Danio rerio: one gene and its partner. The protein of the gene in region 1 purifies or fractionates together with the protein of each later gene. This does not show direct contact. Links are inferred from orthologs where the notes say so. Each region holds a gene or a part of one and is shown in the gene's direction. Other genes may lie near its edges.

Region 1 (3,757 bases):
GAAGTAAAAAGGAATGCAGCACAGGAGTATAAACAATTCAATTCATCTTTATTTCTATAGCACTTTCAAAATGTAAATTGTGCCAAAGCAGATTCACATAGAAGATTATAGTGAATTGAAACCATGTCAGTTTAGTTGTCAGAGTTTAAGTTCAGTTCACTTTAGCTCAGTGTGGTTTTATTTTCACTCCTGATAATCCAAACACTGAAGTGTGAAGCTGCGGTCACACTAGAGTTTGTGTGTGCGAAATTCTGTCGTACGGCGTTGCGAAAAAAGACAGAATTAAACAAGATTAATAGGCATTAAAAAAGCGAGCAATTGCTCCATGTTTAAAATTTCTGTCCAGAGAGGTCATGTTTTGATCCTCGGTTGGTCTCATGCAGTCAAGTGATGCGATTTCGCAGGTCAGAGTTCACCAAGCTTGAACTTTGCACAGCCGCAACCTGCGAAACTTAACGCATGACCCTGCGTTTCCAGTCTGACGCATTCGCGTGCATATGAATAGAAATCTATGGGAGGAAAAGCCCAGTGTGACCGCAGCTTAAATTCATCGATGTGCAGCTCTACAAGTCCTAAACCATGTAAGCCAGTGGCGATAAACACAGGGTAGACATTCAAGACCAGACAGAAAGGGAAGAAAGGAACTTAATGCACAAATAATAACAATAACAGGTGAACATACTACAAGATAACGAGGGAGGGAAACAGAAAAAGGAACCACATGACCAAACACACCTGAATCAAATTAACATGGAGCACATGGGGAAGTAAACACAACACAAGCACATAGTACAGGGCAAACACAGTCCAAACATGAGTCCTAAAAAATGTTAGTGTTCCATTTGAAAAGCGATTAAATTTATACAGTAAATGGCTAAGTGTAATAGTGCATAATGTATTACATTTATTAATTTAGCAGACACTTTTATAAAAGCCATTTACAAATGGGGAAAAAAGAACTTTCAATCACCAGAGTGGCAACATGTGGATGCCATTCCAAGTCTTAATTCATTGAGTTGATTATCTGTTTGTTGAGTCTTTGTACTAAGAGTGTCTGGTGTGTAGAGAATGAGAAAAGAGTGTGTCTCTTACAGGTGCTTTGTAAACCTGTGCTTTACACAGGTACCTGTGTAAAGCACACCCGTGATTGTTGTTTTGATTAGAAAAAGTCTGGCACATATAGAGAGGAAAGAAAAAAGTGTTTCCCACAGGTTGTTTGTCAAGCTAATTCACCTGTGTGAAGCATACTCACAAGTGCACAATGGTAAACAGTGGTGTGATTATTTGGTGCTCCAGTTCTTTTAAAGCAGTGTGAACAGTGTCATCTGACACTTGGTGCACACTGAACAAAGAAACTCTGGGTTTCATTGAAATATAAATGTTACAACAGAATATGATGTCGCAAGGTTCACCCATCTCAGGTTCACAGAATGCTTGAGCATATCTGTTTTTTCATGTTTTAAACTCTTCACAAGTTCTTAACAAAGCAAGCTTACAATATACATAAATATAAATACTTTATTGTTTATTTTAAGCTTATGTCCTAAAAATGACAGTTAATTGAACCAGGGCTAAATTGATTTTTTTTTTTTTGCCCAAACAAATCAAGACAACTACAAGCGTGAACACACCTTAAATGTCTGGGAAGTTGACTTAAAGGGATAATTCACCCAAAAATGAAACATTACCCACTATTTACTCACCCTTAATTTGTGTTCAAAAGAAGAAAGAAACTCATAAATATTTGAAACCACTTAAGATATTTTGAAGAAAACTGAAAGTGCAACAAACAATCAACGTCCTGTAGTAGAAAAACAGAGAGTATATAGATATTTGGGTAAGCTATTCCTTAAAGAGGAGAAATGACTGATTATAATAAAATACCTTGAGCAGGGTAATTATAATGAAATAACTTGAGCAGGGTTTAGTTATTGGCACAACAAAATTGCATAAAACTTGACATTGCAATATTTCCTTACCTCACATTGTGTGGGTTCAAATAAAACTCAAAAATTAATAATTAAAACTAACAAGGTGTCAGCACCTAATAACCTGGTTAAAAACAATTATAACGGAACCTGCTTAGCATATAAAAATAAGTGTTCTTCACAATTTAGATGCAGAGAAATGTGGATCACAATGCTCACAATTAAAACCTGTGTGCTGTATGTACTGTATGCATGCTAAAGTATAATAATTGTAAAATGTTGTGGAGATATGAAATATTAATTGTAATGTGACTTTTTTTAGCTCCCAAGTGTGGTTTCATCAAAGGAAATGAAAGGATTGTGAAGTTACTTGACATTGTGAAACCAGAGATAATGGGTCTGAAGGAGACCTGTATCACTGTAAGTGGGAAAAAGGTTTTAGGAGAGTTCTCAGATTTGTACCAGATATACAGTCATTTTGCAGTAGTTTATCCTTTTTTCCTCAGGTTTCTTGCTGGATTGCTCATCTGATTCCCAAAATTGAAGATGGAAATGACTTTGGAGTTGCAATTCAGGTTATTACATTTTAACACCTAATTAAAGATAGCTGGTTTATATAAACACTGCCAAAAATGTGTTCCTTACTTAGAGTTTTTGTCTTGTTTCTAGTCCAACTATATACAATTCTTAACTCAAGAAGCATTTTATAGACAAGCAAAACAGATTGTCTTAATAAAAGGTGCATTAGGTGATTGTCTTTAGAAACATTTTTTTTTTTTTTTTTTTTTTTTGCTGGTTAAAAATGATTAAAATAAATTATCTAAATGTATTTATATGATATTTGAAATTCTAATTGTACAATGGCTTAGTAATAAATGTTATTTCTGCACCCCGTCGGCCAACCACTAAGCATACAGTAGTCACTTTAGAAAAAAAGTGCGTGAGAGAGTGAGACCAGCGATCTTTGCATGCATGAAATATTGCACATTATGACAAGTTTCTCTTGCTACACAACTGAAAACATTACAGATATAAGAGTTTTTCAATTGATTAGTAGTATGATAAAGTACTGTAAAGTTTTCTAACTGGCGATTGACATGATCTAGTGGGTTTTTTACTGTCATCTTTAAGGTGCACGCATTCGTGTTTCAGGAAGTGTGGCTTTGGATGGCAGTGGAGGAACTGTTTTAAAGATATTATGATGAATAGCATTTTGACTTTTTTGTTAAAACAAGCTGTATAATCTGCCAGTGGGGTAAGAAAAATGCTATTATAGTAAGTAAAAACAAGATCTTGTTTCTTACCCCATTGACAGATTGTACAGCTTGTTTTAAGGAAAAAACTCTCCTTAATTTTGGCATATTATTTCTGAAAACAAAATCATTTTTGCTTGTAAAAATGCCTCTTGGTTGATATATATATATTTATATATATATTTTTTTTTTTCCCTCGATATTTGGACTAGAAACAAGACAAAAAACCTAAGGAAGAAAAGCTTTTTTTGCAGTGCATTCATATTGTTCATTTTAAGATAACCAGTGGCTAAAATGACTTTTAATATTTTAGGAAAAAATCCTTGAGAGGATTACTGCTGTGAAGACCAAAGTCGAGGGATTCCAGACCAACATTAACAAGTATGAGCATTTTTTTATTAAATATTTTAGATTTTGAATTATATACAACAAAGCAAAGTAAAGCAAAGTCAAATATAATAAATAAAGTAATAGTTGGCTGTGGTATATTCCAAAATGTCCAGTACGTAGAGTTTCCAAGAAAGATCAACTGGAGTAGATGAAACCAGCCATATTTTCAGGATCGTGTTTTTTCGC
Region 2 (4,151 bases), on another chromosome or scaffold:
CAGTTTAGTTCCAACCCTGCTCGAACACACTTACCTGTAGGTTTCAAACAAGCCTGAAGGACTCAATTAGTTTGATCAGGTCTGTTTAATTAGAGTTGGAACTAAACTGTGCAGAGCTGCGGCCCTTTTGGAACTGAGTTTGACACCTGTGCTTTAGATCAAGGGTGTAGAATTAGCATGGACTGAGGGTACATGTCACCACCATTATCCACAGATTATTAAAATGCTCCCACCAATAATTTAGTCACCTCCAAAAATAAAATCATTCATTCATTTTCAAGATTTTCCTGGGGCGAGTCGCGAGGGCAGTAGTTTTAGGAAAGAACCCTCCAGCGTGTCCTGGGTCTTCCCTGAGGCCTCCTTAATTCCGGTGGGACATGTCTGGAACACCTCCCTAGGTAGGCGTCCAGGAGGCATTCGAAACAGAGCCACCTCAGCTGACTTCTCTCAATGTGGAGGAGCAGAGGCTCTACTCCGAGCTCCTCTCGGGTGACAGAGCTCCTCATTCTATCTATAGGGGTGCGCCCTGTCACCTTGAGAAGGAAACTCATTTCAGCCGCTTGTATCCGAGATCTTGTCCTTTCGGTCATGACCCAAAGCTCATGACCATAAGTGATGGAACGTAGATTGACCGGTAAAGATTTGCCTCTCAACTCAGCTCCTTCTTAACAACAATGGACCACATTACTGCTGCTGCTGCACCAATCCGCCTGCCAATCTCACATTCCATCCTTCCTTCACTCAGGAACAAAACCCAATACTTCAACTTCTCCACATGGGGTAAGGACTTTCCTCCAACCTGGATATATTGCAAACCTCATTTTCCCGGTGGAGCCCTATGGCCTCGGACTTGGAGGTAATAGATATTCAAATATTAAATGTTATTTGTAGATATATTTTGGCATATATTACACAAGTATTTCTAAAACCATGATCTCAGTTCTGAGAAAAAAGAAAAGGGGGATAAAAACAATTTTAAAGATGTTTATTTATTTTTTTACTGCAAATAATTATTGTCTCACAATGATTCTAACCAACTTACTCCAGTTTGATAGCTTCTTTATGGAAATAAAATGGGTAATATGCAGGTTTAGGTTTACTGTACACAAATGTAATTTGAGAACAAGCCTATCCAGAAGAATATTCCATGAAATAAAAGCGTGACAACTCAAAACCAACTCTTTTATTTTCAGTAGAGAAATCATCCGTTTTATAATGGCTTATAATGTGTACATTTCTTTGTCGTGTAAACTCTTTCGATAAAAACTATATGCGGATGATCTGGCGGGAGCGCCTGAAGCAGAGACACGTGTTACACGGTATATATTCCTACTCTATAGGTTCCTACACTGCTTATCCTATAGATGTGAGGCGGAGCGCGGAAGCTCTAACGTGTGACACAGAGGGAAACTAGTCTAGCGCTTCCCGGAAGCGAGACCGCAGAATCATGGCGACCGTCTCAGTGTGCCAGTACCAGCCCGGCGGTTTCAGTTTCGAAAACTGTAGGAGGTGAGTTTTAAGCGTCTGTATCATTTGTTATTATGCCGGGGACGTTGGATAATTATTGTGTTTTTAATTCGTCGAAAAGCCCGAGAGTTTAAAACAAGTTTAACGGCATTTTAATGATCGGTTGAGCCACGGCCTGTGTGAATGACTCAGGAGAATTTGCTCAAGCTTATTTGAATAGCGGATTTAATAAGTAAAACACATTATGATTAGCATTGCGTTCTGTGTGAAATAAAAAAATATATAAATATATATGTTTATTAATATGAAAGAGTACGTTTTTTTGTTAGTGTTGATAATGTGTTGTCATTGTTGGACTGCGGACCCCACACCTAAAGTGTGTATGCAAGTTCACAACAAAAATGAGCATGTAAACTGTGGATTAATTTGTTTTTCATTCTGTTCTGGCCTAAAACATTTTTTTATTTAATCAATACACGGTGCGGTTTGAGTTTGATGTTTTAAAAGGTAAAACACAAAATCATTGTTCATGTTTTGTTATTGGTGGGCTGCGGACCCCGTCCACACAGTCTGTATCTCAATTAACGTTACACCAAACTGACTTTTAAAGTGTAAATTAAAGTGAGTTTCATTCATATATAAATACATTTTAAGTCAAAAAACCATTTGATTTGTATTTAAAACTTACTCAACGGAAAGGTTAAGTTGCATATACAGGTGGGTCTTTTTGGAACAGATGAATCCAATACTTAAGTTATTGTACGTCTTTTAAATTATGATTTCTTTTATATTATTTCCTTTAACCCGACTTAGTTTCTTTTATAAACCGGAATATTTATATATGTGAATAAAGGAGTGGTGAGAAAGCAGGAGATCTGTATCTGATCCATACAGTCAACGTGAATGTAAAACATAATGCTTGTTGTACATTTGCTGACTGGAAAAACTAGTGGCTTTCTGCTTGTTAATGTTGGATATTATCCATTTTAGAGCAGATTTTTGTAAGATAGAGAGCTGAGCAAACCCATCTTTTTTATTATGAACCATTTAGTTATGGCCCGTGTGAATGACTCAGGAAAATTTTGAACACAGTTTAATTAGCTCCAGCTCTTTTGAATCCGTTTAATTGCGTAAAAACACAAACTAATGTATATATTATTTATAAAATATACAATTTAGTTTTTTTGTAATTTTGTAATGTATTTTTTTTATTTATTTTTATTTTTTTTAGTTTACTAGTAGTGTTTTTTTACACTGACACTCTGCAGCCCCGATGTCATGTGTTTGTACCAGGTTTGTACACAAAAATCTAAATGAACTTAAGTTTTGTTTATTTTTAATTTGTTAAATCATTTCTGTTTAATGTCTTATGAGCAGATTAGTATAATGAATAAAAAGAGTCTTTTAGTAGCTGCTAAATCAAATAATTCACTTATTGTTTGTGTCTAAAGTTTTTTATTGTTTTTATGAACAACACAAAGATACATATGTACATAGGCATAGAATGATTACCATTTTCAAGGTTTACCGTGCTTTGGAAAAGTCAAGGTTTTAAAACCACCGGCATTTTCTGCTATACCGTTATTTTTATTTCCTTTTCAAAATACAACAAAATTGTGTTCAAAAGAGGAATTTTAGTTTTTTTTTTTTTTTTTTTTTTTTTTTTTACCCAGACATTTAAAAATAATATATTTTAGAGCAGCAATCACAATACTGTCAAACCATAAAACTTTCATCCAAGGTTGTCTTACCGTCAGAATCTTATACCAGACCATGCTTATATGTACAGTATAAGTGTGAATCAATAAGTGGTGATAAGTGCAAAGTGTCAACTAGTTGTCAAAAGATCTTAGATTTTAGAATTTGTTATTGACATTCTTCTGTATACTATTGATTTCTAAAACATATTGTTGCATAACACCCATAAGAAAATAGCAGAGATTAAATAACAAAATAAAACCTTTGTGCTATTTTAGAAATGCTCTTCTGGAGGCAGACATCACTAAACTGGGTTTCAGCTCTCCTGCTGCCCGTAAAACCGGAACCACTATCTGTGGGATTGTTTATAAGGTAAGAAAAAAAAACAGTTGAATTTAATGTGTGAAATCCAAGGTTTGACTAGATACTCACGTCTCACTTCTGTCTCAGGATGGTGTTGTTTTAGGTGCAGACACTCGTGCAACTGAAGGAATGATCGTCGCTGATAAGAACTGCTCTAAAATTCACTACATCTCTCCCAACATTTAGTGAGTATAAACTCACGTCATGCATGCTTGTAGTTTTTGATCCCTGACATCAAATGACACTGCATGTTTTTCTGATTTGTTGCATAGCTGTTGTGGAGCAGGTACAGCGGCGGACACTGAGATGACCACACAGATCATCTCCTCCAACCTGGAGCTTCATTCTCTGTCCACCGGTCGTCTGCCACGAGTCGCCACAGCAAACCGCATGCTCAAACAGATGCTCTTCAGGTGACAAACACCTATTCTGCGTGTGCAATATAGATCTTAAATGTAGAATTCTGATGTTTAAATGAAGAGTTTAAAAGCAAAAACCTCTTAGTGCCTTCTGATTTGTATTTTTTTTTTGTCTAAAACGAGCATTTTGTGTGTAGGTTCAGTAATTTCACTTTAATGGAAAGTATACGTGTTCTTTTTATGGCCTTTAAACTGAAATGACTG

The links. The genes of interacting proteins can lie anywhere in the genome.
Region 2: the proteins of psme2 (region 1) and psmb7 purify together in Homo sapiens (affinity purification with mass spectrometry; 4 studies listed by BioGRID and IntAct, counting the BioPlex papers as one, with this or other methods). This does not show direct contact. The link is inferred for Danio rerio from reciprocal best matches to the Homo sapiens genes PSME2 and PSMB7.

The regions. Positions count from the first base shown.
Region 1 is NC_133187.1:13,894,821-13,898,577, forward strand, and holds part of psme2 (proteasome activator complex subunit 2), read left to right. Parts: intron 1-2,250; coding exon 2,251-2,348; intron 2,349-2,434; coding exon 2,435-2,503; intron 2,504-3,494; coding exon 3,495-3,562; intron 3,563-3,757. UniProt on the Homo sapiens protein: Implicated in immunoproteasome assembly and required for efficient antigen processing. The PA28 activator complex enhances the generation of class I binding peptides by altering the cleavage pattern of the proteasome.
Region 2 is NC_133196.1:9,696,600-9,700,750, forward strand, and holds the start of psmb7 (proteasome subunit beta type-7), read left to right. Parts: upstream 1-1,351; 5' UTR 1,352-1,447; coding exon 1,448-1,509; intron 1,510-3,443; coding exon 3,444-3,537; intron 3,538-3,615; coding exon 3,616-3,713; intron 3,714-3,800; coding exon 3,801-3,941; intron 3,942-4,151. UniProt on the Homo sapiens protein: Component of the 20S core proteasome complex involved in the proteolytic degradation of most intracellular proteins. This complex plays numerous essential roles within the cell by associating with different regulatory particles.